Saccharomyces cerevisiae S288C: one gene and its partners. The gene in region 1 interacts genetically with each later gene. Each region holds a gene or a part of one and is shown in the gene's direction. Other genes may lie near its edges.

Region 1 (5,654 bases):
TACAAGTTTTATATAATTTCAACGTCGGAGGTTATCCGGAAATCTATAGTTGAATTTTTGCAGGATTATACTTCGCTCGAATATTGTGCGTGTTAAATACTCAGCGAGAACAATACTTCCAAGTTAGAAAAGGGATTTGCTCATGTTAAAGCAATGGCACTCCGAATGGACGGTGTCAGGAATTCTTTTCTTCACATCAGGCTTCGCATAGAAAATGGCCATTGGCAAAAGGTTACTGGTGAACAAACCAGCAGAAGAATCATTTTATGCTTCTCCAATGTATGATTTTTTGTATCCGTTTAGGCCAGTGGGGAACCAATGGCTGCCAGAATATATTATCTTTGTATGTGCTGTAATACTGAGGTGCACAATTGGACTTGGTCCATATTCTGGGAAAGGCAGTCCACCGCTGTACGGCGATTTTGAGGCTCAGAGACATTGGATGGAAATTACGCAACATTTACCGCTTTCTAAGTGGTACTGGTATGATTTGCAATACTGGGGATTGGACTATCCACCATTAACAGCATTTCATTCGTACCTTCTGGGCCTAATTGGATCTTTTTTCAATCCATCTTGGTTTGCACTAGAAAAGTCACGTGGCTTTGAATCCCCCGATAATGGCCTGAAAACATATATGCGTTCTACTGTCATCATTAGCGACATATTGTTTTACTTTCCTGCAGTAATATACTTTACTAAGTGGCTTGGTAGATATCGAAACCAGTCGCCCATAGGACAATCTATTGCGGCATCAGCGATTTTGTTCCAACCTTCATTAATGCTCATTGACCATGGGCACTTTCAATATAATTCAGTCATGCTTGGCCTTACTGCTTATGCCATAAATAACTTATTAGATGAGTATTATGCTATGGCGGCCGTTTGTTTTGTCCTATCCATTTGTTTTAAACAAATGGCATTGTATTATGCACCGATTTTTTTTGCTTATCTATTAAGTCGATCATTGCTGTTCCCCAAATTTAACATAGCTAGATTGACGGTTATTGCGTTTGCAACACTCGCAACTTTTGCTATAATATTTGCGCCATTATATTTCTTGGGAGGAGGATTAAAGAATATTCACCAATGTATTCACAGGATATTCCCTTTTGCCAGGGGCATCTTCGAAGACAAGGTTGCTAACTTCTGGTGCGTTACGAACGTGTTTGTAAAATACAAGGAAAGATTCACTATACAACAACTCCAGCTATATTCATTGATTGCCACCGTGATTGGTTTCTTACCAGCCATGATAATGACATTACTTCATCCCAAAAAGCATCTTCTCCCATACGTGTTAATCGCATGTTCGATGTCCTTTTTTCTTTTTAGCTTTCAAGTACATGAGAAAACTATCCTCATCCCACTTTTGCCTATTACACTACTCTACTCCTCTACTGATTGGAATGTTCTATCTCTTGTAAGTTGGATAAACAATGTGGCTTTGTTTACGCTATGGCCTTTGTTGAAAAAGGACGGTCTTCATTTACAGTATGCCGTATCTTTCTTACTAAGCAATTGGCTGATTGGAAATTTCAGTTTTATTACACCAAGGTTCTTGCCAAAATCTTTAACTCCTGGCCCTTCTATCAGCAGCATCAATAGCGACTATAGAAGAAGAAGCTTACTGCCATATAATGTGGTTTGGAAAAGTTTTATCATAGGAACGTATATTGCTATGGGCTTTTATCATTTCTTAGATCAATTTGTAGCACCTCCATCGAAATATCCAGACTTGTGGGTGTTGTTGAACTGTGCTGTTGGGTTCATTTGCTTTAGCATATTTTGGCTATGGTCTTATTACAAGATATTCACTTCCGGTAGCAAATCCATGAAGGACTTGTAGTTACATTTTAACTTATATAACTGTACAATGTCAGTCAGACGCAACTGATATAAAAGATGTGCTCTACAAGTAAAGATTATTTCAACTCTTAAAAATATTTGAAAAATGCACTATAATTTGATCTAAATAAGGTACAGATAATGGTAAGGCAAAACTACTACATTTGGCAGTGAGTATTGTTAGCTTTTCCGCTTATTTTCTCTCCTGGAGTAGCCACCGTTCGCGTCTTCCGAGCAATGGCGAATCTCGAATCTCGGAAGGGCGGCTACTGATAACAGGCACTCATATATATATTATTAGATAAGAGTTTTTTTTGACTGAGTCCTTATAACACGTAACTTATCAAGTTGCTATATTGTAAGTTCAGGTTTCCAATCTGTTCAACCACTTTATATCTTTAAACATGAAATTCTCTACCATCTTACCTATACTTTGGGCAAATTGCTGTCTTTGTATGATCATCCCTGATTTCGACGGGATAGTTCGTTTTATTGAGAATATTGATGGTACTCGCAGTGTAAGAGCAGGAGAAGGTTTGGGACAGCATGATCCTGGAAATTTTCACACTGAACATCAACATGTCGCTCATAAAACAGAGTTTCTTCCTTATCGGTATGTCATAGTCTTTAATGAAGATATTTCCCTCCAGCAGATTCAATCGCATATGCAAGTGGTACAGAAGGATCATAGTACCTCAGTAGGTAAGCTTACAGAAAATGACGCTTTTTGGAGGGTAATTTCTTCTTCAGTATCATCTAAATCTCAATTTGGAGGTATTGATAATTTTTTTGACATAAATGGTCTATTTCGAGGTTATACTGGCTATTTCACTGATGAAATCATTAAAATAATCTCCCAGGACCCAATCATAAAGTTCGTAGAGCAAGAAACTACAGTAAAAATATCTAATTCGTCATTGCAGGAAGAAGCGCCTTGGGGTTTACATAGAGTTTCGCACAGGGAGAAACCAAAATATGGACAAGATTTGGAATATTTATATGAAGATGCCGCCGGAAAAGGTGTCACATCATATGTACTCGACACAGGAATTGATACCGAGCACGAGGACTTTGAAGGGCGTGCTGAGTGGGGAGCCGTTATACCAGCAAACGATGAAGCTTCTGATTTGAATGGTCATGGAACTCACTGTGCGGGGATTATCGGATCGAAGCACTTTGGTGTAGCCAAAAATACAAAAATAGTAGCTGTCAAAGTTCTTCGTTCTAATGGGGAAGGGACGGTTTCAGATGTTATTAAAGGTATAGAGTATGTTACTAAGGAGCATATAGAATCGTCGAAGAAAAAGAATAAAGAATTCAAAGGATCGACTGCCAATCTTTCTTTGGGAAGTAGCAAATCGCTAGCTATGGAAATGGCTGTAAATGCAGCTGTAGATAGCGGTGTCCATTTTGCTATTGCGGCAGGAAATGAGGATGAAGATGCTTGTCTCAGTTCACCAGCAGGAGCTGAAAAAAGTATTACGGTCGGTGCTTCGACATTTAGTGATGATAGAGCATTCTTTTCGAACTGGGGCACATGTGTTGATGTGTTTGCTCCCGGTATAAATATTATGTCCACCTATATTGGTTCAAGGAATGCAACTTTAAGTTTATCAGGTACTTCCATGGCGTCCCCGCACGTTGCTGGTATTTTAAGTTACTTTTTATCATTACAGCCTGCACCAGACAGTGAATTTTTCAACGACGCTCCCTCACCTCAAGAATTGAAAGAAAAAGTCCTAAAATTTAGTACACAGGGAGTACTGGGTGATATCGGTGATGATACTCCTAACAAATTAATATATAATGGGGGAGGTAAGAAATTGGATGGTTTTTGGTAGCTTTGATTTTGAATTTAGGAGCACCCAGGAGATTTTATTTTATTCTTTTCATACAGGTCAGCATAAGCCTAAGAAAGACGTTTGAAATCGCTAATCGGCTTTTTGTTCCTACGAGTAGGTTAAATTCTTTCAATAATATACATAATAAATTAGTAGTAAAGATAAACTTTTGTTCGCGATGCAGTTCTTTTGGTTGTGAATAGTTTTTTTACGAATTTATACTAGTCACTGCTAGATAAGGGTTAAGGAGGTAAATAAAATACGACAACCACTTTAAATAGGTTTCAAAACTATCCTTCAACAGATAAAAGGGTTTACCGTCAGAATCATTGAAATCTTTTAAAGGGTGTGAAACTATTTTTATCTTCCTCTGTCACCGTCCAAAGCAACCGAGCAATGCAGTGTTTTTCCTTTTAAAAACTACCTCAGATCATAGGTACAAGTTACAACTGAATGTCTACAATTGTGATCTCGGCTCGATAATGTATTCTATGTATGAGAGGCATCTTCTTGTTTTGATTATTTCTATCATTTACTAAGGAAAAAAAAAAAAATATACATGCGGTGCGATGCGATGATCTTCGGGAAGAAAAATTTTCAAGATGTCAATTAAACAATAGTATAATTATCGTGATGAGCAAGAAGGGAAGCAATCCAATAATAAAAACCAACTATTGTAAGCGCTCCCGATATACCTAACATGCGTCAAAAGAGGGCTAAGTCATATAGGAAACAACTTCTTGTTTACAGTCACACATTTAAGTTCCGTGAGCCATATCAAGTTTTGGTTGATAATCAGCTTGTTTTAGAATGTAATAATTCTAATTTTAATCTACCGAGTGGGTTGAAAAGAACGTTGCAAGCAGACGTAAAGGTCATGATCACACAGTGTTGCATACAAGCGTTATATGAAACTAGAAATGATGGTGCAATTAATTTAGCGAAACAATTTGAGAGACGTCGTTGTAACCACTCTTTTAAAGATCCAAAGTCACCTGCGGAGTGCATCGAAAGCGTCGTTAATATTAGCGGTGCAAATAAACACAGGTATGTGGTTGCTTCTCAGGACATAGATTTGAGGAGGAAGCTGAGGACGGTTCCGGGTGTTCCATTAATCCATTTAACCAGGTCTGTTATGGTTATGGAACCTCTCAGTACGGCGAGTGCCAAGGCAAGCAAGATTACTGAAGAACAAAAATTGTATAAGGGTCTCAATGATCCTAATATTGAAAAACTTCAAGAAAGTGGTGATGGATCAGGAAAGGAATCTATCACTAAGAAAAGAAAGCTTGGTCCAAAGGCTCCTAATCCTTTGAGCGTAAAGAAGAAGAAGAAAGTCAACTCGCCCAGCGATGAGGTGAAAGACAAAGAAGATACTTCTAAAGAAAAGAAAAAAAGAAGAAGAAGGAAACACAAAAGCAACACTAACGTCCCCGTTTCAAATGGGACCACAGCCGCGCAGTAAATTTTTTCCTTAAGTTAATTGACTGGCCAATCTTTTGAATATAATTGCGCATCTTCCACTCTTATTGATAAACGTTACGGAAGTATTTAATGTACATATGTAGGATAGTATTAAATAAACTTCAAAAAATTAAGCCTCCGCAAAACGCACCATCAGTAGTTGACTACGGGGAAGTCTTCTTCAGGCACTTGACAGTTTTCATTAATAGAATGATCCACCCATTCAGGGGCAACGACCCTGGCTATTTTCGGTATAGTATCAGAAGCCTTTATTTGTTCTTTTATTTTTTCGTGTACCTCATTCATGCAGTCTTTCCTCAAAATAGGATCAGTATATGGTATAATTATTAAGTTACAAAGTGACTGTTGATCTGTTATTTTTCCACCAAACAACTTAATTTTCATTTCTATAATGTCATCTTCTGTGCTAATTTTGCGACGTGGTACGTATGCAATCCTGTTGGAGAATAAAAATAATGGAAACCGCCGAACCTCAGAATC
Region 2 (6,208 bases), on another chromosome or scaffold:
TGAAAGTAGCGGCGCAAATGATGAAGTATTTGATGATTTAGAAGCCAAAGGTGTTTTCATTTGGAAGGACGTATGCTTTACTATTCCATATGAAGGCGGTAAGAGAATGCTTTTGGATAATGTTTCAGGTTATTGTATTCCAGGTACCATGACGGCCTTGATGGGAGAGTCAGGTGCTGGTAAAACAACTTTGTTAAATACTCTTGCTCAAAGAAATGTCGGTATCATTACTGGTGATATGCTTGTCAATGGACGTCCCATTGATGCGAGTTTCGAAAGGCGTACAGGTTATGTACAACAACAGGATATACATATCGCAGAGTTAACTGTTAGGGAATCGTTGCAGTTTTCTGCTCGTATGCGTCGCCCTCAGCATTTGCCTGATTCTGAAAAAATGGATTATGTGGAAAAAATCATCAGAGTTTTGGGAATGGAAGAGTATGCGGAAGCCCTTGTTGGTGAGGTTGGTTGTGGTTTAAACGTTGAACAGAGAAAGAAGCTGTCTATTGGTGTTGAACTAGTCGCCAAACCAGACTTATTATTATTCCTCGATGAACCTACATCAGGTTTGGATTCTCAATCTTCATGGGCCATTATTCAATTATTAAGAAAGTTATCAAAAGCTGGCCAATCCATTCTTTGTACGATCCATCAACCTTCAGCTACTCTGTTCGAAGAGTTTGATAGATTACTACTTTTGAGGAAGGGTGGACAAACTGTTTATTTCGGAGATATTGGTAAGAACTCTGCCACCATTTTGAACTACTTTGAAAGGAATGGGGCAAGAAAATGTGATTCTAGTGAAAATCCTGCTGAATATATTTTAGAGGCTATTGGTGCCGGTGCCACAGCATCCGTCAAAGAAGACTGGCACGAAAAATGGTTGAACTCTGTCGAGTTTGAACAAACAAAAGAAAAAGTACAGGATTTAATAAATGATTTATCGAAACAAGAAACTAAATCCGAAGTTGGAGACAAACCTTCCAAATATGCTACTTCTTATGCTTACCAGTTCAGATATGTTTTAATCAGAACCTCTACTTCATTTTGGAGAAGTCTGAATTACATCATGTCAAAGATGATGCTAATGCTGGTTGGTGGTCTGTATATTGGTTTCACATTTTTCAATGTTGGTAAAAGTTATGTCGGCTTACAAAATGCGATGTTCGCGGCATTTATCTCTATTATCTTGTCTGCTCCTGCAATGAACCAAATCCAAGGACGTGCTATTGCCTCCAGAGAACTTTTTGAAGTTAGGGAATCCCAATCTAACATGTTTCACTGGTCGCTGGTGTTGATCACTCAGTACTTGAGCGAACTTCCCTATCATTTATTTTTTTCGACAATTTTCTTTGTCTCATCGTATTTTCCATTAAGAATCTTCTTCGAAGCGTCAAGATCTGCGGTGTACTTTTTGAATTACTGCATTATGTTCCAGTTATACTATGTTGGTCTTGGCTTAATGATCCTATATATGTCACCGAACCTTCCATCCGCTAATGTTATCTTAGGTTTGTGTCTGTCATTTATGCTTTCTTTCTGTGGTGTTACACAACCTGTCTCATTGATGCCTGGCTTCTGGACATTCATGTGGAAGGCTTCCCCATACACATATTTTGTTCAGAATCTGGTCGGAATTATGCTGCACAAAAAACCAGTCGTATGCAAAAAGAAAGAACTAAACTACTTCAACCCACCAAACGGCTCAACGTGTGGAGAGTACATGAAACCCTTTTTGGAAAAAGCTACTGGTTACATCGAAAATCCTGATGCTACGTCAGATTGTGCATACTGTATTTACGAAGTTGGAGATAATTATTTGACACATATCAGCTCTAAGTATAGCTACTTGTGGAGAAATTTTGGAATATTTTGGATTTACATTTTCTTCAATATCATTGCTATGGTTTGTGTGTATTACCTCTTCCATGTAAGACAATCTTCCTTCCTAAGCCCCGTATCTATACTCAATAAAATTAAAAACATAAGGAAAAAGAAGCAGTAATGTGGGCTTCAGATAACTTAACATTTTGTGCATTCATCTGCCTTTAATTCTTAATTCTCATTTTACACTATAGAAGAAGACACGAGTACATCTCGTTTCACTTTTATACTGACATTCATATAATTAACAATAAGTATAGTTTATAATAGATACAAAAAAAAAGTCTTGTATTACCATGTTAATAGTTACATTGTGTATAACTCTCGTAGTTTTCAAAAGTCAAGTCTTGTTGAGTAAAAAAGTTTATTTTACCCTTGGGTTTCGACTCAAAATATTGGATTACGATCTAAGCAAGGTGTTGCAAGTACAAGCTAAACGAAAAGAATAAGACAAAAAAACTGAGGCTCCTCAAACTGGTCACCAAAATTGAACTTCAAATTTAGTGTTTCTACATTTTTTCTATTTTGTTTCATTTTTATATCCCTTTCATATGATTAACAAAACTTGGTAAATTATCTGGCCTGTCAACCCTTACCTGTCCTGTCCCTTCTTTAGACAAAAGAAAATAAAAAAATTGGACACAGGAAAACAACAGCCTCCATACCACAGTTTCTGTGTCTTATTCTATTTAGGAAGGTCATTCTATATTACTCAAAGGAAAGACATCCAGTAGAAACAATAGTGTTGCTAAACGGTTAACTTGCCCACTAATGTCTGCTTATATTTGCAAATCACTATTGTGGCAAGTCATACCCTGGAGCTTTGTGATTGAACAACATATACTATATTGCAGCAGTATTTTTCAGAAATAATATTCGAAAGAAGTGAGAACAAGAAATGACCACGATAGATTACAGCTGACCAACTTAGAAAATGAGTAAACTTATTTTTGTCTTAAGAAGTGCATGCAGCGACCTCTCCCAATTACCAAATTGTAATTTTTTATTATTCTTTTTTTCTGCATAGTTCATTCGACAGCTTGGTTGAAAAGAGTGATAAAAATTTTCTGTTTTATGAAAAGTTTTCATAACTCTATTAAGGGTTGCACTATAAGAACATTTCGCAATAAAGCAACCCTTATCCGGACCCTACATGTTCCGTAAGTCCTGCCTTATTTATCGTAACGGTATTCATCTTACAGGAATTTTTGAATATAGATAACGTTAGTTTTGATAGATTGGAACAAATGGGAAAATAACAATTTAGAAGCGCTTTCCTCAGCGTATCTGAATTATAAAACAACTGCGCATATTGCTAAGAACTGCACTGAAGGCATGAATTGTCTATTCCGTTAGAAATATAATTATTTACGAAAGCATCGCGCAGACGCAATTTTTTTAACATTTTTTTTTTTTCAAGTACTCTGGAAAAGTTTTCATGAAGATCATGAATACGTTACACTACTATTATTATTGAAAATAATATTTCTTTCCTATCAGCAATCGCTTACATATTCATAGTCATTTACTAGGGTATATACCAATAATAATGTCCCGTCCACAAGTTACTGTTCACTCTTTGACTGGTGAAGCTACTGCCAATGCCTTGCCATTGCCAGCTGTCTTCTCCGCTCCTATCCGTCCTGACATTGTCCACACTGTTTTCACCTCTGTGAACAAGAACAAGAGACAAGCTTACGCTGTTTCTGAAAAGGCTGGTCACCAAACCTCCGCTGAATCCTGGGGTACCGGTCGTGCCGTCGCTCGTATTCCAAGAGTTGGTGGTGGTGGTACCGGTAGATCCGGTCAAGGTGCCTTCGGTAACATGTGTCGTGGTGGTCGTATGTTTGCTCCAACTAAGACCTGGAGAAAGTGGAACGTTAAGGTTAACCACAACGAAAAGCGTTACGCCACTGCTTCTGCTATTGCTGCTACTGCTGTTGCTTCTTTGGTCTTGGCCAGAGGTCACAGAGTCGAAAAGATTCCAGAAATCCCATTGGTTGTCTCCACTGACTTGGAATCTATTCAAAAGACCAAGGAAGCTGTTGCTGCTTTGAAGGCTGTTGGTGCTCACTCCGACTTGTTGAAGGTCTTGAAGTCCAAGAAATTGAGAGCCGGTAAGGGTAAGTACAGAAACAGAAGATGGACTCAAAGAAGAGGTCCATTAGTTGTCTACGCTGAAGACAACGGTATCGTCAAGGCCTTGAGAAACGTTCCAGGTGTTGAAACTGCCAACGTTGCTTCTTTGAACTTGTTGCAATTGGCTCCAGGTGCTCACTTGGGTAGATTCGTTATCTGGACCGAAGCTGCTTTCACCAAGTTGGACCAAGTCTGGGGTTCCGAAACCGTTGCCTCCTCCAAGGTCGGTTACACTTTGCCATCCCACATCATCTCCACTTCTGATGTCACCAGAATTATCAACTCTTCTGAAATCCAATCTGCTATCAGACCAGCTGGCCAAGCTACTCAAAAGCGTACTCACGTTTTGAAGAAGAACCCATTGAAGAACAAGCAAGTTTTGTTGAGATTGAACCCTTACGCCAAGGTCTTTGCTGCTGAAAAGCTAGGTTCCAAGAAGGCTGAAAAGACTGGTACCAAGCCAGCTGCTGTTTTCGCCGAAACCTTGAAGCATGACTAGAATTTATAGTATAGATCTTTAACTTTAATTTAAATATCTTTGTTACTAGTCTTTAATCAAACCTTTTTGTTTTCTTTAAAGTCGAAACGTCAGATTTGCTCAAAACCTTCTTGTCGTTACAACGCGAAAATTGTAATTTAAAATAACTAACGAAGAAAGCTGAAAAATAGATGTGAGGGAAAATCGTTTATAAACGGCCATGCTCACAGAGAATCATGTATGGAGATTTAGGTAATAAATTAGTATTAGAAGCTAAAAGAACAAAACAGCTGTACGCAAGAAGTAATCAAGATGTTAATTTACCCATGTATCATGAAGATATAATACGAAATATTCTGAAAGAAGTTTCAAATTTACGTAAAAATACGGAATATCTTAAAGAACAGCAGCAACTAGGAATGCTAGATGATAAGGTGGCTAAATGCCAGTATTTCGTTACCTTGTTATGTATGGAAAGGAACAAGAGATGTCTCTTAGCATACCAAAGGTTGAGAACAGACATACTAGATTCTATGGCTTGGAATAATAATGGTCTGGACTTGATGAGTAGCATTACGTTTAGCCAACAAGACACAAATAACCTTTCTCATCAAGAGCAGGAATATTTGAAAGAATACTGCGATTTAATTACTGATTTAAAAAGTGGTGACTTGGTCGATATTGATTTATCCGGCTCTTTAGTGCCTCCGAGCGATGTATTTATTGATGTTAGAGTGCTCAAAGATGCTGGTGAGATTCAAACTGAATACGGCGTGTTTAACCTTATTAAAGACTCCCAGTTTTTCGTAAGGCAGTCTGATGTAGAGCGTTTGATTCAACAAGGTTATTTGCAGAAGATATGATAAAATGCTTTCAAGCTGGTCTTCATGATATATAATCCTTTATAAAGCAAGATACATACCTCCATTCTAATTTACTCCCTTCTATGTTTACTTCAGCCCTTTTTAATAGATTTCGTAAGTTTTGGTTGAGGAGGCTTTCTGAGCTTTACGCGACTTTATTGATGACGAAGCTTCACTTTATTATAATAATGAAAAACTGCGCAGAGAAACTATCGCAAAACGAAACCATCTTCTTACCCTAAAGCATCCTGTTTCTGAAAAAATGAGAGCATATGGAAAGAGGGGCCCAGTTCTCAGAACTCCTTTTAGATCTAATAAAGGCTTGCCATCTTCTTCCGATGTTGAATTTAGTGATGACGATGTAAACTCCGTGATTCCTGATGTAAGTTCTACCATTTCGAGCAGTATTGCAGACCACCCGATAGAGGGATTATTGGACGAGCCTAGAAAGGCTCAGGACAGCTCGTCGTCATTTGATGGTGCAAATGAGAAGCCCTCTTCACAACTGGACTCAAAAAGGAATGACCAAAACGTCAAAATTATCACTAGCAGTGATACCTCAATGGCATTTATGAAAGATGAAAAGTTAAGTGCCTTTAATTTCCTTGATGGTTCAAAGGCATCTAAGAGAAAAAGAAGAAGAACTTACCAAAAGCATGATGCGAACATAACGTCTTCAATTGAACCAGACGTACAAGATGAAGACAGCATTACAATGCACAATGAATTTGAATCAATAAGGAAAATATACAATGACATCAATGAATTCATATTGAAGCTACCGAGAGCTGACGATGATATACTGAATAAAATGCTTGAAAATGAGATGAAGATGGACGACTCT
Region 3 (3,498 bases), on another chromosome or scaffold:
AACCATGAGGAACGACTTCAATGGAATAACCATCAGGATCCTTCAAAAAGGCAATATTCTTCATTCTGCCTTGGTTAAATTTAGGAGACCATTGGATCTTATCGCCGTATTTCACTTCAATTTCTTTACAAAGGGCGCCAGCGTCATCACAACTTATGCAGATGTGACCATAACCCTGGGGCTCTGAGTTACCGTTATGATAGTGGAAGTTTGGATCATTCTCAGTTCCCCAATTATGAGTTAACTCCAACACACTTTCACATGAAAAAACGCTGTCGGTCTTTGGAACGCCATAACCAAGAAAGTATAACGTAAATTTTGCACTTTCGTGCTCACTAGTTCTTAATAATTTCATGCCCAACACATTCTGGTAGAATTCTAAAGACCGGGTTGGGTTTTTAATACGAATCATGGTATGATTGAACTTGTTACCTACTGAGCCCTTTGGGTATTCCTGACCCTCTCTAGAATATGTGATCAACTCAATCCAGTATCCATCAGGGCCTAAAGCAAACGCAATGTCCTTCTGTCTTCCTTCAGAGAGTCTCTTCTTGAATTTGACACCCTGAGATTCTAGCTCTTCGCAGGTTTTATTGATATCGGATACAGAAAAACAGATGTGCCCAAATCCACGATGAGGTTCCTCATTCCCGTTGTTGATCTTGTAGTCTGGGTTTTTTTCAGTACCCCAATTGTGAGTTAGTTCTAAGACACCGTGTGCGCTAAAAACATCAGGCTCTCCATTCTTATTTTTGGGTATGTCGTCTTTTGGAAAGCTTAAAAAGTACAAGCTAAATTTTGCTTCTTCAAAATCCTTTCTGCTTAATAGCTTCATACCGAAGTGTTCGGTGTAGAACTTAACGGTCCTTGCTGGATCCTTGACTCTTAAACATGTGTGATTAAGCAGAAGGGTTGGATCATTCGAGGCTTTCTCAATCTGAATTGGATAGCGTGTACTATCAGTGGACATTGTTAGTTTGTAGCTGGTGGCGTATCTGGTCTGAAGTGTCAAAAAAAAGGCATGGAAATGTTATTCCGATTTTTTTTCTCCCTATTTATAAACGTCACTAACTAGAAATACGGGATATCAACTACTACGAGAGAGGGACATTCTAGTATCAAAGAAACTTACTATGACGCAGTTTAGGATCCCTGTGGTGACTACGTATCCAGGTCTACTACTCCATCGTAAAGCCCCTTGTTTATTCAGTGTCCAGATCATATGCGGGATGTGTATTTTGTGCTGAGTGGAAAAATAAGATCATATGCTCAAGAATAAAGGGTTAAAGGGTATGGAAATTTCAGTTCTCCCTGGCTCAAGAACATTGTCAGTATTCCTATAACTGAAGCTGAGTGGTACTAATGCACCGAGATGCAAAGTCCGAACCACCCCCACCCCCCTCTTTACCTATTTTTTATATTTTGTGATAAAGGGATAACTCGTCTTGCCTTCACTGCGCTTCGATTCTACTTTAGCTAAACTAAGCGTTACTTTGTTTGAGAATCTCTCAGCCGTTAAATCAACGTACTTGTATACTAAACAGTATATTCACGTGATAACTTTGCCTTACACCTATGATATAGATAAATATATACATATATATGAGTGTGTGTGCATTGCGTCACTAAACTATGTTTAATATGACAGAAGGTTTTCGTTTAATTTTGCCGCTACCCGAAAATTTTGGCAGTTGCAATTTATAACTAAAGGAACCACCTTATTGTAAATTCCTCAACGGAAAAGCTATGGCTTAGCTAGGGTTGACAATGTCAGTTTACCATTTACCAACGCTGTTGAACCCGCTGGTTAATGCTATATTTAACTGTCCCGAACCAGAAAGATCCCCATTGAAAAAGCTTTTCGCTAATTTAAAAACCCGTAGGTTTATCCTCCTAGCACCTCCTTCAGAATACCTTTTGAATTACCACGATGTCAAGAGCAAACTGCCGTTACATGACCTCTGTTATAATGCAGAGTTTATTAACTCTTACATATTGTTAATGACTGAAAACTCTTACATAAATACGAATTCAAGGGACAGTCATTATGAAACGTTAGATGGTAAGACCGTTGTTATTCAATGGAAGAATAATGTGATCCATGCCTTAAATGGATTTCATATAAGGCGAAGACTAAAGATTCTAGAGACAAAAATATTACCCAATTTTAATGACTACTTTGAAGGGGCGGCTGATTTTATCATACTATTCATAGATCAACCTTTAAATTGCGAATTTGTACCTAACGACTACTTACAGTGTTTTCACAATTATGAGAAAATACCAAAAAATGCACATGCTATGCCAAATCTGTCGATAGATTCTTTTCAGCAAGAAAGATCGTCATTCGAGAATATATTGCACATTCATCCTGCTCGATTAACACAGCTTGGCCAATTGTTTTCGAGTTACAGAACGCTCGCTCCTGGTGATGATCCATCTAGAAGTATTTTTGAAAGCATCGTGCAACAAGCATTTGATGGAATGAAATCGGATTCACTTTTCAAGAACTTTTCTAATCTTTACGATCTTATACACGACTATTTTGAACTAAATCTTTACGATGATATATGGTCTAGGCTTACTACACATTTCAAAGGCCACGAAGTAGACACTGAAAAAATAAATATTTTTCAGTGAACCAGTTGTTGACAGATTTTTACTCAAAAGATTATGGGGAATTTAAATTACACGACATCACTCTTATTGAAAGGCGTCTCCATCTAGCGTCCAAACATCTTCAAAAGTTGGCTTTGACCCATTCATACGCTGAAAAATCTAAAATATTAGTTGAAACTCTACAGAAATTATCAGGTACTACCGAAATGGATTCACATCAACTAGAACTACCAGACGGATTGAATAACATGACGATGGATGCAGACACTTTAATTAGCCTTTTTGTGCTCGTTGTTTGCAGAAGTGAACAAAAGCACCTTAAAAGTCATCTTTACTATTTGCAAAATTTTTCGAATAACTCTTCTTCTACAAAATTCGGCATTCTAGGGTATGCTGTATCCACACTGGAAGCAGTGGTTTGTTATTTCGAAGACTTCAACAAAAATACAGGCAACGTGGCGAAAGCTAACACATTATGTGAAAAAACTAAGAATTTATTAGATAAGTTGTCATGTGAAAACCCCACAAATGAAGTAGAAGATCTGGCAACATACAAGGATATTTTGACCTACAGAAATGAGCAAGGACAATCCATTCTATCCATATGTATAACAAATCATAAAAACTACATCTTATTAGATATTCTTTCTGAATATGAAAACGACTTTCCAGTAGAAGACCTTTTAGAGGACGAAACGATTGATGGTTCTACGCTGCTTATAGAATCGATAAAAGCAGGAAATTTAGAAGCCGCGAAAGTTCTCATAAAGATCATGCTGTTCAATTGTACTGAAGAGGAGCTGGTTTCTTATATCAATAAAACAGATAAATATGCACGTACCGTGGCTCATTATCTAACCCATGAAATGGATATACTTA
Region 4 (8,147 bases), on another chromosome or scaffold:
CTATAGTGTTGTCCCTCTCGCGAGGACCATTGTTGCTTGCATATGGGCTTGAAACATATGGTCATCACATCTGAGCGATTTTACCTCTTAGAATTAGTTTAGATATATATGAGTTGATGAATAAATAGTTATAAAAACTTGCTTTGGCTTCGATATATGACCGTTATTTTTGACTAAGTTTTAACGAAGGAATCTAACCTCGTTCTTGTAATTACCAAAATCTTCAACAACGCGCTGTTGGAGGTATCTCTATGGATGTGGCTTGAAATATGGATGTCTTGCCTACTTCTACTTCTGGGAAAGGCATTTTTACTCGATCGCGTTAATATATGCATCAAGAAAATAAAAAATAAAACGCGAAGAGCTAAAAAAAAAAAAGAAAACCTACTATAAATAACCGATTAGAATCGAGTTTTTGTATTGAAATGGCGGTAATAAGCGTTAAACCTCGACGAAGAGAGAAGATCCTACAGGAGGTAAAAAACAGCTCGGTATATCAAACGGTATTTGATTCCGGTACTACTCAAATGCAGATACCGAAATATGAGAACAAGCCATTCAAGCCTCCAAGAAGGGTTGGATCAAATAAGTACACACAACTCAAACCAACCGCCACTGCAGTCACAACAGCCCCTATATCTAAAGCCAAAGTTACTGTCAACTTGAAAAGAAGCATTTCGGCGGGACCTACTTTAAATCTTGCCAAGAAGCCGAATAATCTGTCCTCAAATGAAAACACTAGATATTTTACTATCATGTACAGGAAGCCTACTACCAAAAAGCACAAGACTTGGAGTGGTGATGGCTACGCTACCTTAAAAGCCAGTAGCGATAAGTTATGCTTTTATAACGAAGCAGGGAAATTTCTTGGGTCAAGTATGCTACCAAGTGATTCAGATTCTCTCTTCGAAACTCTTTTCAAAGCAGGCTCCAATGAAGTACAATTGGATTACGAATTGAAGGAAAATGCAGAAATACGTAGCGCCAAAGAAGCCTTATCACAAAACATGGGAAATCCCAGCCCACCGACCACAAGCACAACAGAAACAGTGCCTTCTACGAAGAATGACGGTGGCAAATACCAAATGCCTCTGTCTCAGCTGTTTTCACTAAACACTGTGAAAAGATTCAAATCAGTAACAAAGCAAACAAATGAACACATGACCACAGTACCTAAAACCAGTCAAAATTCCAAAGCCAAAAAATATTATCCAGTATTTGATGTCAACAAAATCGATAATCCTATAGTAATGAACAAAAATGCAGCCGCTGAAGTTGACGTAATTGTTGATCCATTACTGGGCAAATTCTTGCGCCCTCATCAGAGGGAAGGGGTGAAGTTCATGTATGATTGCTTAATGGGCTTGGCAAGACCAACTATTGAAAATCCGGATATCGATTGTACTACTAAAAGTTTAGTGTTAGAAAATGACTCAGATATTAGTGGATGCCTTTTGGCTGATGATATGGGTTTAGGTAAAACACTAATGAGTATAACTTTGATTTGGACATTAATTAGGCAAACTCCTTTTGCATCAAAAGTTTCATGTTCGCAATCAGGCATACCATTAACTGGACTTTGTAAGAAGATTTTAGTCGTTTGTCCCGTTACTTTAATAGGAAATTGGAAAAGAGAATTTGGAAAATGGTTAAATTTGTCAAGAATAGGTGTTTTGACATTAAGCTCAAGGAATTCTCCTGATATGGATAAAATGGCTGTCAGAAATTTTTTAAAAGTGCAACGAACTTATCAAGTCTTGATTATTGGCTACGAAAAACTCTTGAGTGTTTCTGAAGAATTAGAGAAAAATAAACATTTGATTGACATGCTGGTGTGTGACGAAGGCCATCGACTAAAAAACGGGGCTTCTAAAATTTTAAATACGCTGAAGAGTTTAGACATAAGAAGGAAGCTTTTGCTTACGGGAACTCCTATACAAAATGATCTTAATGAGTTTTTCACTATTATAGATTTCATAAACCCAGGAATCCTTGGAAGCTTCGCTTCTTTCAAAAGAAGATTCATTATCCCTATAACTAGAGCCAGAGACACTGCAAACAGATACAACGAAGAATTGTTGGAAAAGGGGGAAGAAAGGTCAAAAGAGATGATAGAAATTACGAAAAGATTTATTTTGAGACGAACAAATGCGATTTTAGAAAAGTACCTTCCTCCAAAGACGGATATAATTTTATTCTGTAAACCATACAGCCAACAGATATTGGCATTCAAAGATATTTTGCAGGGCGCACGTTTAGATTTTGGACAATTGACGTTCAGTTCTTCGCTAGGACTAATAACATTACTGAAAAAGGTTTGTAACTCTCCTGGATTGGTTGGCTCAGATCCCTATTACAAATCACATATAAAGGATACCCAATCTCAGGACAGCTATAGTCGTTCTTTGAACTCTGGTAAGTTAAAGGTATTAATGACATTACTAGAAGGTATTAGGAAGGGTACCAAGGAGAAGGTCGTCGTAGTGTCTAACTACACTCAAACATTGGATATAATTGAAAATTTGATGAATATGGCTGGGATGTCACATTGCAGACTCGACGGTTCCATACCTGCTAAACAAAGGGACTCTATCGTCACATCTTTCAATCGGAATCCAGCCATATTTGGATTCTTGTTGAGTGCAAAATCGGGAGGTGTAGGATTGAATCTAGTCGGTGCTTCGCGACTTATTTTATTTGATAATGATTGGAATCCTTCAGTAGATTTGCAAGCGATGTCACGAATTCATAGAGATGGTCAAAAAAAGCCGTGCTTCATATATAGACTTGTCACAACTGGGTGTATCGATGAGAAAATATTGCAAAGGCAATTAATGAAGAACAGTTTGAGCCAAAAATTTCTAGGTGACTCGGAGATGAGAAATAAAGAATCTTCTAATGATGATCTTTTCAATAAAGAGGACTTGAAGGACCTGTTTTCTGTCCATACAGATACCAAGAGTAACACACATGACTTAATTTGTTCTTGCGATGGTTTAGGTGAGGAAATTGAATATCCTGAAACAAATCAACAGCAGAACACCGTAGAGCTGAGAAAGCGTAGCACTACGACATGGACAAGTGCGCTGGATTTACAAAAGAAAATGAATGAAGCAGCCACCAACGATGATGCCAAAAAGTCACAATACATTAGGCAATGTCTCGTTCATTATAAGCATATCGATCCAGCAAGACAAGATGAATTATTTGATGAGGTTATCACAGATTCGTTCACCGAATTGAAAGATAGTATTACCTTTGCGTTTGTAAAGCCCGGCGAGATATGTCTCAGAGAACAATGACGCCAAATATGGACACTTATATACTAAATAAAATAGCTATTATTTAATCACTGATTGTATTTAATAGGTTTATTCTTGCACGACTCATTCAGGTTCAAGTCACATATTAAGTAGGGCCTATTGCTGATTCAAGTTGATATCCACGTTTTCACTAATTTGATAACGATACGCTGCGGGCGCAAATCAAACATCTGAAAGATTTGAATAGCCTTTAGTCCCAAAAAAAAAAAAAAAAAAATAATGTGAAAAATTATCTACAAGGAAATAAATTGATAGGTAAAGTTAAAGAATCACGGCATGAAATTAAAAAGTGTATTCAGATCAGTTCTAAAGTACCGGAAAACAAATTTGAGTTTGCTTCTATTAATCACCTATTCGATTATTACGTTACTCTATATCTTTGATCATGAACGTTATAAACTCAATCTACCAAAAGAGGATGAGCACCCTGAATTCAATGACTTATTAGAAACAGCATGGGGGGACTTACAGATTATCACGGCCTCTTTTCATCCGTACACGTCCAAAGAAAATGATAAAGTACATGATTACTTGCTCAAAAGGGTTCTTGAAATTACAGGGAATTCTTCGTTTGCAAGTGTTTCAGATGACAAAGAAAGCGAGAGATCCATATTATTTCAGCAACAAGATCCTTTCAATGAGTCATCTAGGTTTTCGAGAGTGACATATTTTGAATCTTCTAATATATTAGTTAAGCTTGAGGGTAAAAATCCTGAGGAAGAAGGGTTACTTCTTTCAGCTCATTTCGACTCTGTACCCACAGGATATGGAGCTACCGATGACGGCATGGGTGTAGTGTCTTTACTAGCGAACCTCAAGTACCATATAAAGCACAGACCGAACAGGACTTTAATTTTCAACTTTAATAATAATGAAGAGTTTGGCCTACTAGGTGCATCAACTTATTTTGATCACTCATGGTCTAATTTAACCAAGTATGTGATAAATTTAGAGGGAACTGGTGCTGGTGGTAAAGCTGTACTGTTCCGAACTTCAGATACTTCAACAGCAAGAATATACCAACAGTCTGTTAAGGAAAATCCATTTGGTAACTCTATCTACCAGCAAGGTTTTTATAGCAGATATGTCAGGAGTGAGACAGACTACAAGATTTACGAAGAAAATGGCATGAGAGGCTGGGATGTCGCATTCTACAAACCGAGAAACCTTTATCATACCATAAAGGATTCAATACAATATACCTCCAAGGCATCTTTATGGCATATGCTACATACTTCCTTACAATTAAGTGCATATGTGGCTTCTAATTCATTGGATACAGCTGACCAAACGCCGGCTTGTTATTTTGATTTTATCGGTTTGAAGTTTTTCGTTATAAGCGCTAAAACGCTTTTCTATTGGAACTGCATATTTCTATTAGTTTCACCCGTTGTGGCCATTGGCTTGTATTTAATTTCTCGTGATAGAATGACTTGGAAATCTTATTCATGGCTATCGTGGACACGCTTTCCTCTTTCATTAGCCGCTGGTATTATTGTCCAAAAGCTTTTCTCTAACGACATAATTCGTTCCAATCCTTTGACGTTCTCAAGGAACTACTTTTGGCCTATCTCGGCTTTTTTCACTCAAGTAATTTTTACCAGTTATGTTCTGATTAATTGCTCCAATTTTTTTTTCCCCTGTGCCGATATGAAAAGCCTATCAATTATCGAATTGTTCATTATTTTATGGACCATTTTACTTTTTACGTCGAAGTTATTGTATAGTTCCGACTATAGGTATACCGGGCTTTATCCTCTCTCGATTTTCTTTCTTCTGAGCACAATAGCTGCTATATTGAGACTACTTGCACTAGCGTTGGGAATGAGAACAAGGAAGAGGCTTGGTAGAGAATGTAGGGACCATCACTCCAATTACAGCTCCCATTCTCAAATAGATATGGAACGAGACGGTCAGGAAAACTTGGAACAACCCCAAGATCAACTTACATCGTCACAAGACGATCAAGCAAGTATCCAAGATGATAATGTGTCAACTACTTCAGCTGGCCCATCACATAATGTTGACGAGGATCATGGTATGGATTCATCGTCACAACAACATGATGAAAGGGTACCATTACTGAAGGGGTCTAATAGCATGGAGGAAGGATTGAGTACTAGAGAAAATTCTCTAAAACTTGAGTATACCGATTATGCCTGGATCATTCAATTTTTGCTAATTGTACCAATACCATCATTTATTTTGTTTAACAGTGTGGATGTTATCATGGACGCACTAAACCATACTGTCCAGGAAGGAAGTAAGGCTACATTTGATGTACTCAGGTTCGGAATGGTGGGCAGTATTTTGATCGCGCTACCAATTTTACCTTTTTTCTATAAGGTCAACTATATCACAATTTCTTTAACTGCACTGCTTTTCTTGATTTCCGCATCCAAAACGCTCCTAGTGCACCCCTTTACCAATAGTAACCCATTAAAAGTAAGGTTTTCTCAAAATATTGATTTGTCTCAAGGGAACGCTGCCAGTGTACATGTCCTTGGAAGAGAAGGAAATTTTTTAAAACCTATGCTGCAAGATTTACCAAGTATAAAATATAGCTCTACACATATTAACTGTACTTCCGTAACCAATGGAATGGAACTTTGTATGTATGATGGAATGCAACCTAATTTATTGAGCACGAATGGAAATACGAACATCAGCAGTATGGTCAAGGTTCATGTTTTACATAATAACCGAAACTCAACAGAGAGATCTCCTTACGAACCAATAGTTGCAGAGTTACTTTTGGAGGTGAAGGAGAACAGGGCTTGCACTTTAACTTTTGAAAGTAGACATCAGGCGAAGTCACCTGTCAGAGAAATCACGGTATATCAAAAGAAAAATTCGGCCCCACAGAAAGCTAATATCACGAAGACGATCAAGTCTGCTTCTGGCATAAACGAACTGCAATTGCATAAACTTGATTTCGATCAGGAAACTTACCATATCGGAGTCCAGTGGTTTCCAAAACTTTTGACGGATGGAAATGTAGAGGATGACAAGTTGGGGACAAAAGACGAACTGTCTGTTTCTATTAGCTGTTATTGGGGAGAATATGATTCGGAATCGGTTGTAAATGGTACCGCTGTTAGGAAAATTCCAGCATTTGATGAATTGATAAATTACGCACCTCTAAGTTTTTCCTTTACCAACGAACAGAAAGGATTAGTTATTGTCAAGGATGCTATAATTTTATAATTCTAATTAGTTTTAAATGTAAATTTTTATAAACTCAAATTCGCCTACTGGGGGAGTTGTCCAAAGGCTTCGCTTCTTCCCACAAGAAGAACAAAATAATAAAAAATATTTTGAGAAATTTTTCGTAACAAAAGGAAAAACTATTGAGTTTAACTTATGAATGTACTTTACTGGCCAAGAATCCGTCTGGAACCATTCTACGGTGCTCTCTTCGTAGCGCTAAAGACAGCTATAGTGGATATTCAGACGGTATTGAAAATCACTAATGATATCAGTTAACAAAGTAAGAAACATGTTTCGTCAGATAAGTTCTACACTGCTGCAAGTGCATACAATGCTCGTTTTTATAAAGTCCTAAATTATATAACCCTCCAGTAACTATTAGAAAATAGCACGCAATAATGCTAGCGATATACAAATAACCTGTAAATCTATATATTTATTAAGTATAAAGATAATGGTCTTGGAAATGGTTCTTCAGGGATTGTGATTGACTATAGCCGGATATCGTTTGGATCAAGAGCTTGGTTAAGCGGATATTTAAGTTATTTTAATATATCGCTTTGTCCAAAAGCAAGTTTTGGAGGTGGGATCTCAATTTACACGATACAGTATTAACCAAATCTTGATAGCAAAAAAATGCAAAATATCGTATAAGTGAAGGCAAAGCATTGTCCAATGTAAGGTTCTGTGCCGCCCTTCCCTTTTTTGAAAGCTGCTAGATATCATTGTTACCCTTTTTAATTTCTACGCTATTCTCGGACGTCATAATTTTATAGTTACTGACACTAAAAAAAGGGTCGTACGTCTTACTGGCAGCGCCGAAAAATGTTTCGAAAATACACCTTAACACATTGAAGTAGTGATGATTTCATAAAAAACCACAAGAATTTGTTCGCTAATACATTAATTCGGTACTAGACTTTATTGACTCGTATATTTCTAACGAATAAATCACCCACTCTTGCTATCCTAACAGTATTTAATATTAGCTATTTAAAAGCCTTAAGATGGACTATGGCTACTTTTTTCCCGCACAACGTATTGAAGAAACAAATGGTGTGGATTTTTGGATAGACAGTAATGCTGAATTTACACAGTCTAAAAGACCTGACTCTTCAACATCCACTCTTTCGAGGGTTTTAACGGACACCACGAATGTATCCAATAATAGTGGATCACTCAAAAGAAAAACCATCAAGAACAAAATATTCCCACAAAGGAAAATATTCAACGATAGCGAAAATTTTGACTTTGGTAAAGCCAACACTGATTGTAAGCATGTGTTTAAAAGTATTTCTAAGCAACTGATTTTTCTTCCAAGGTGTTTCCAACATCACAGTATCCGAGGCTGGATGAAAGACAGATACTCCGAATTTGGTTATAAAATAAAAAGAAATCAAAATTGTCCCCCCTCAGCATGTGTACAGGCACTATACAATACTAGTAGATCCAATACCGAAGAGTCAAACCCCAACAGTCTGGATTCTCTGATAATGTATAAATACATGCGATACTCTGAAAAGAAAAAGGAATTGATGTGCAGATTTTGCCAGGGGAATAATTGGATTCTAGCTGAAAACTACCTAAAACATTTATTCTTTGCGCACGGCATTT

What was found.
Region 2: mutations in UTP23 (region 1) and RPL4B together harm fitness more than expected from each alone (negative genetic interaction), as found in Saccharomyces cerevisiae (one large-scale study listed by BioGRID).
Region 3: mutations in UTP23 (region 1) and YML003W together harm fitness less than expected from each alone (positive genetic interaction), as found in Saccharomyces cerevisiae (one large-scale study listed by BioGRID).
Region 4: mutations in UTP23 (region 1) and PFF1 together harm fitness more than expected from each alone (negative genetic interaction), as found in Saccharomyces cerevisiae (one large-scale study listed by BioGRID).

The regions. Positions count from the first base shown.
Region 1 is NC_001147.6:329,203-334,856, forward strand, and holds UTP23 (rRNA-binding ribosome biosynthesis protein UTP23), read left to right. Parts: upstream 1-4,389; coding exon 4,390-5,154; downstream 5,155-5,654. Other genes in the region: ALG6 (dolichyl-P-Glc:Man(9)GlcNAc(2)-PP-dolichol alpha-1,3-glucosyltransferase), read left to right, coding at 215-1,849; putative subtilisin-like protease YSP3, read left to right, coding at 2,253-3,689; DNA ligase (ATP) DNL4, read right to left, coding at 5,307-5,654. UniProt on the Saccharomyces cerevisiae protein: Involved in rRNA-processing and ribosome biogenesis.
Region 2 is NC_001136.10:468,420-474,627, forward strand, and holds RPL4B (60S ribosomal protein uL4 RPL4B), read left to right. Parts: upstream 1-3,433; coding exon 3,434-4,522; downstream 4,523-6,208. Other genes in the region: ATP-binding cassette transporter SNQ2, read left to right, coding at 1-2,005; DNA replication protein PSF1, read left to right, coding at 4,738-5,364; RAD61 (Rad61p), read left to right, coding at 5,627-6,208.
Region 3 is NC_001145.3:261,716-265,213, forward strand, and holds YML003W (uncharacterized protein), read left to right. Parts: upstream 1-1,767; coding exon 1,768-2,640; downstream 2,641-3,498. Other genes in the region: lactoylglutathione lyase GLO1, read right to left, coding at 1-970; VRL1 (Vrl1p), read left to right, coding at 2,826-3,498.
Region 4 is NC_001134.8:382,687-390,833, forward strand, and holds PFF1 (Pff1p), read left to right. Parts: upstream 1-3,599; coding exon 3,600-6,530; downstream 6,531-8,147. Other genes in the region: YBR072C-A (uncharacterized protein), read right to left, coding at 174-335; DNA-dependent ATPase RDH54, read left to right, coding at 426-3,302; ECM8 (Ecm8p), read left to right, coding at 7,541-8,147. UniProt on the Saccharomyces cerevisiae protein: May be involved in vacuolar sorting and osmoregulation.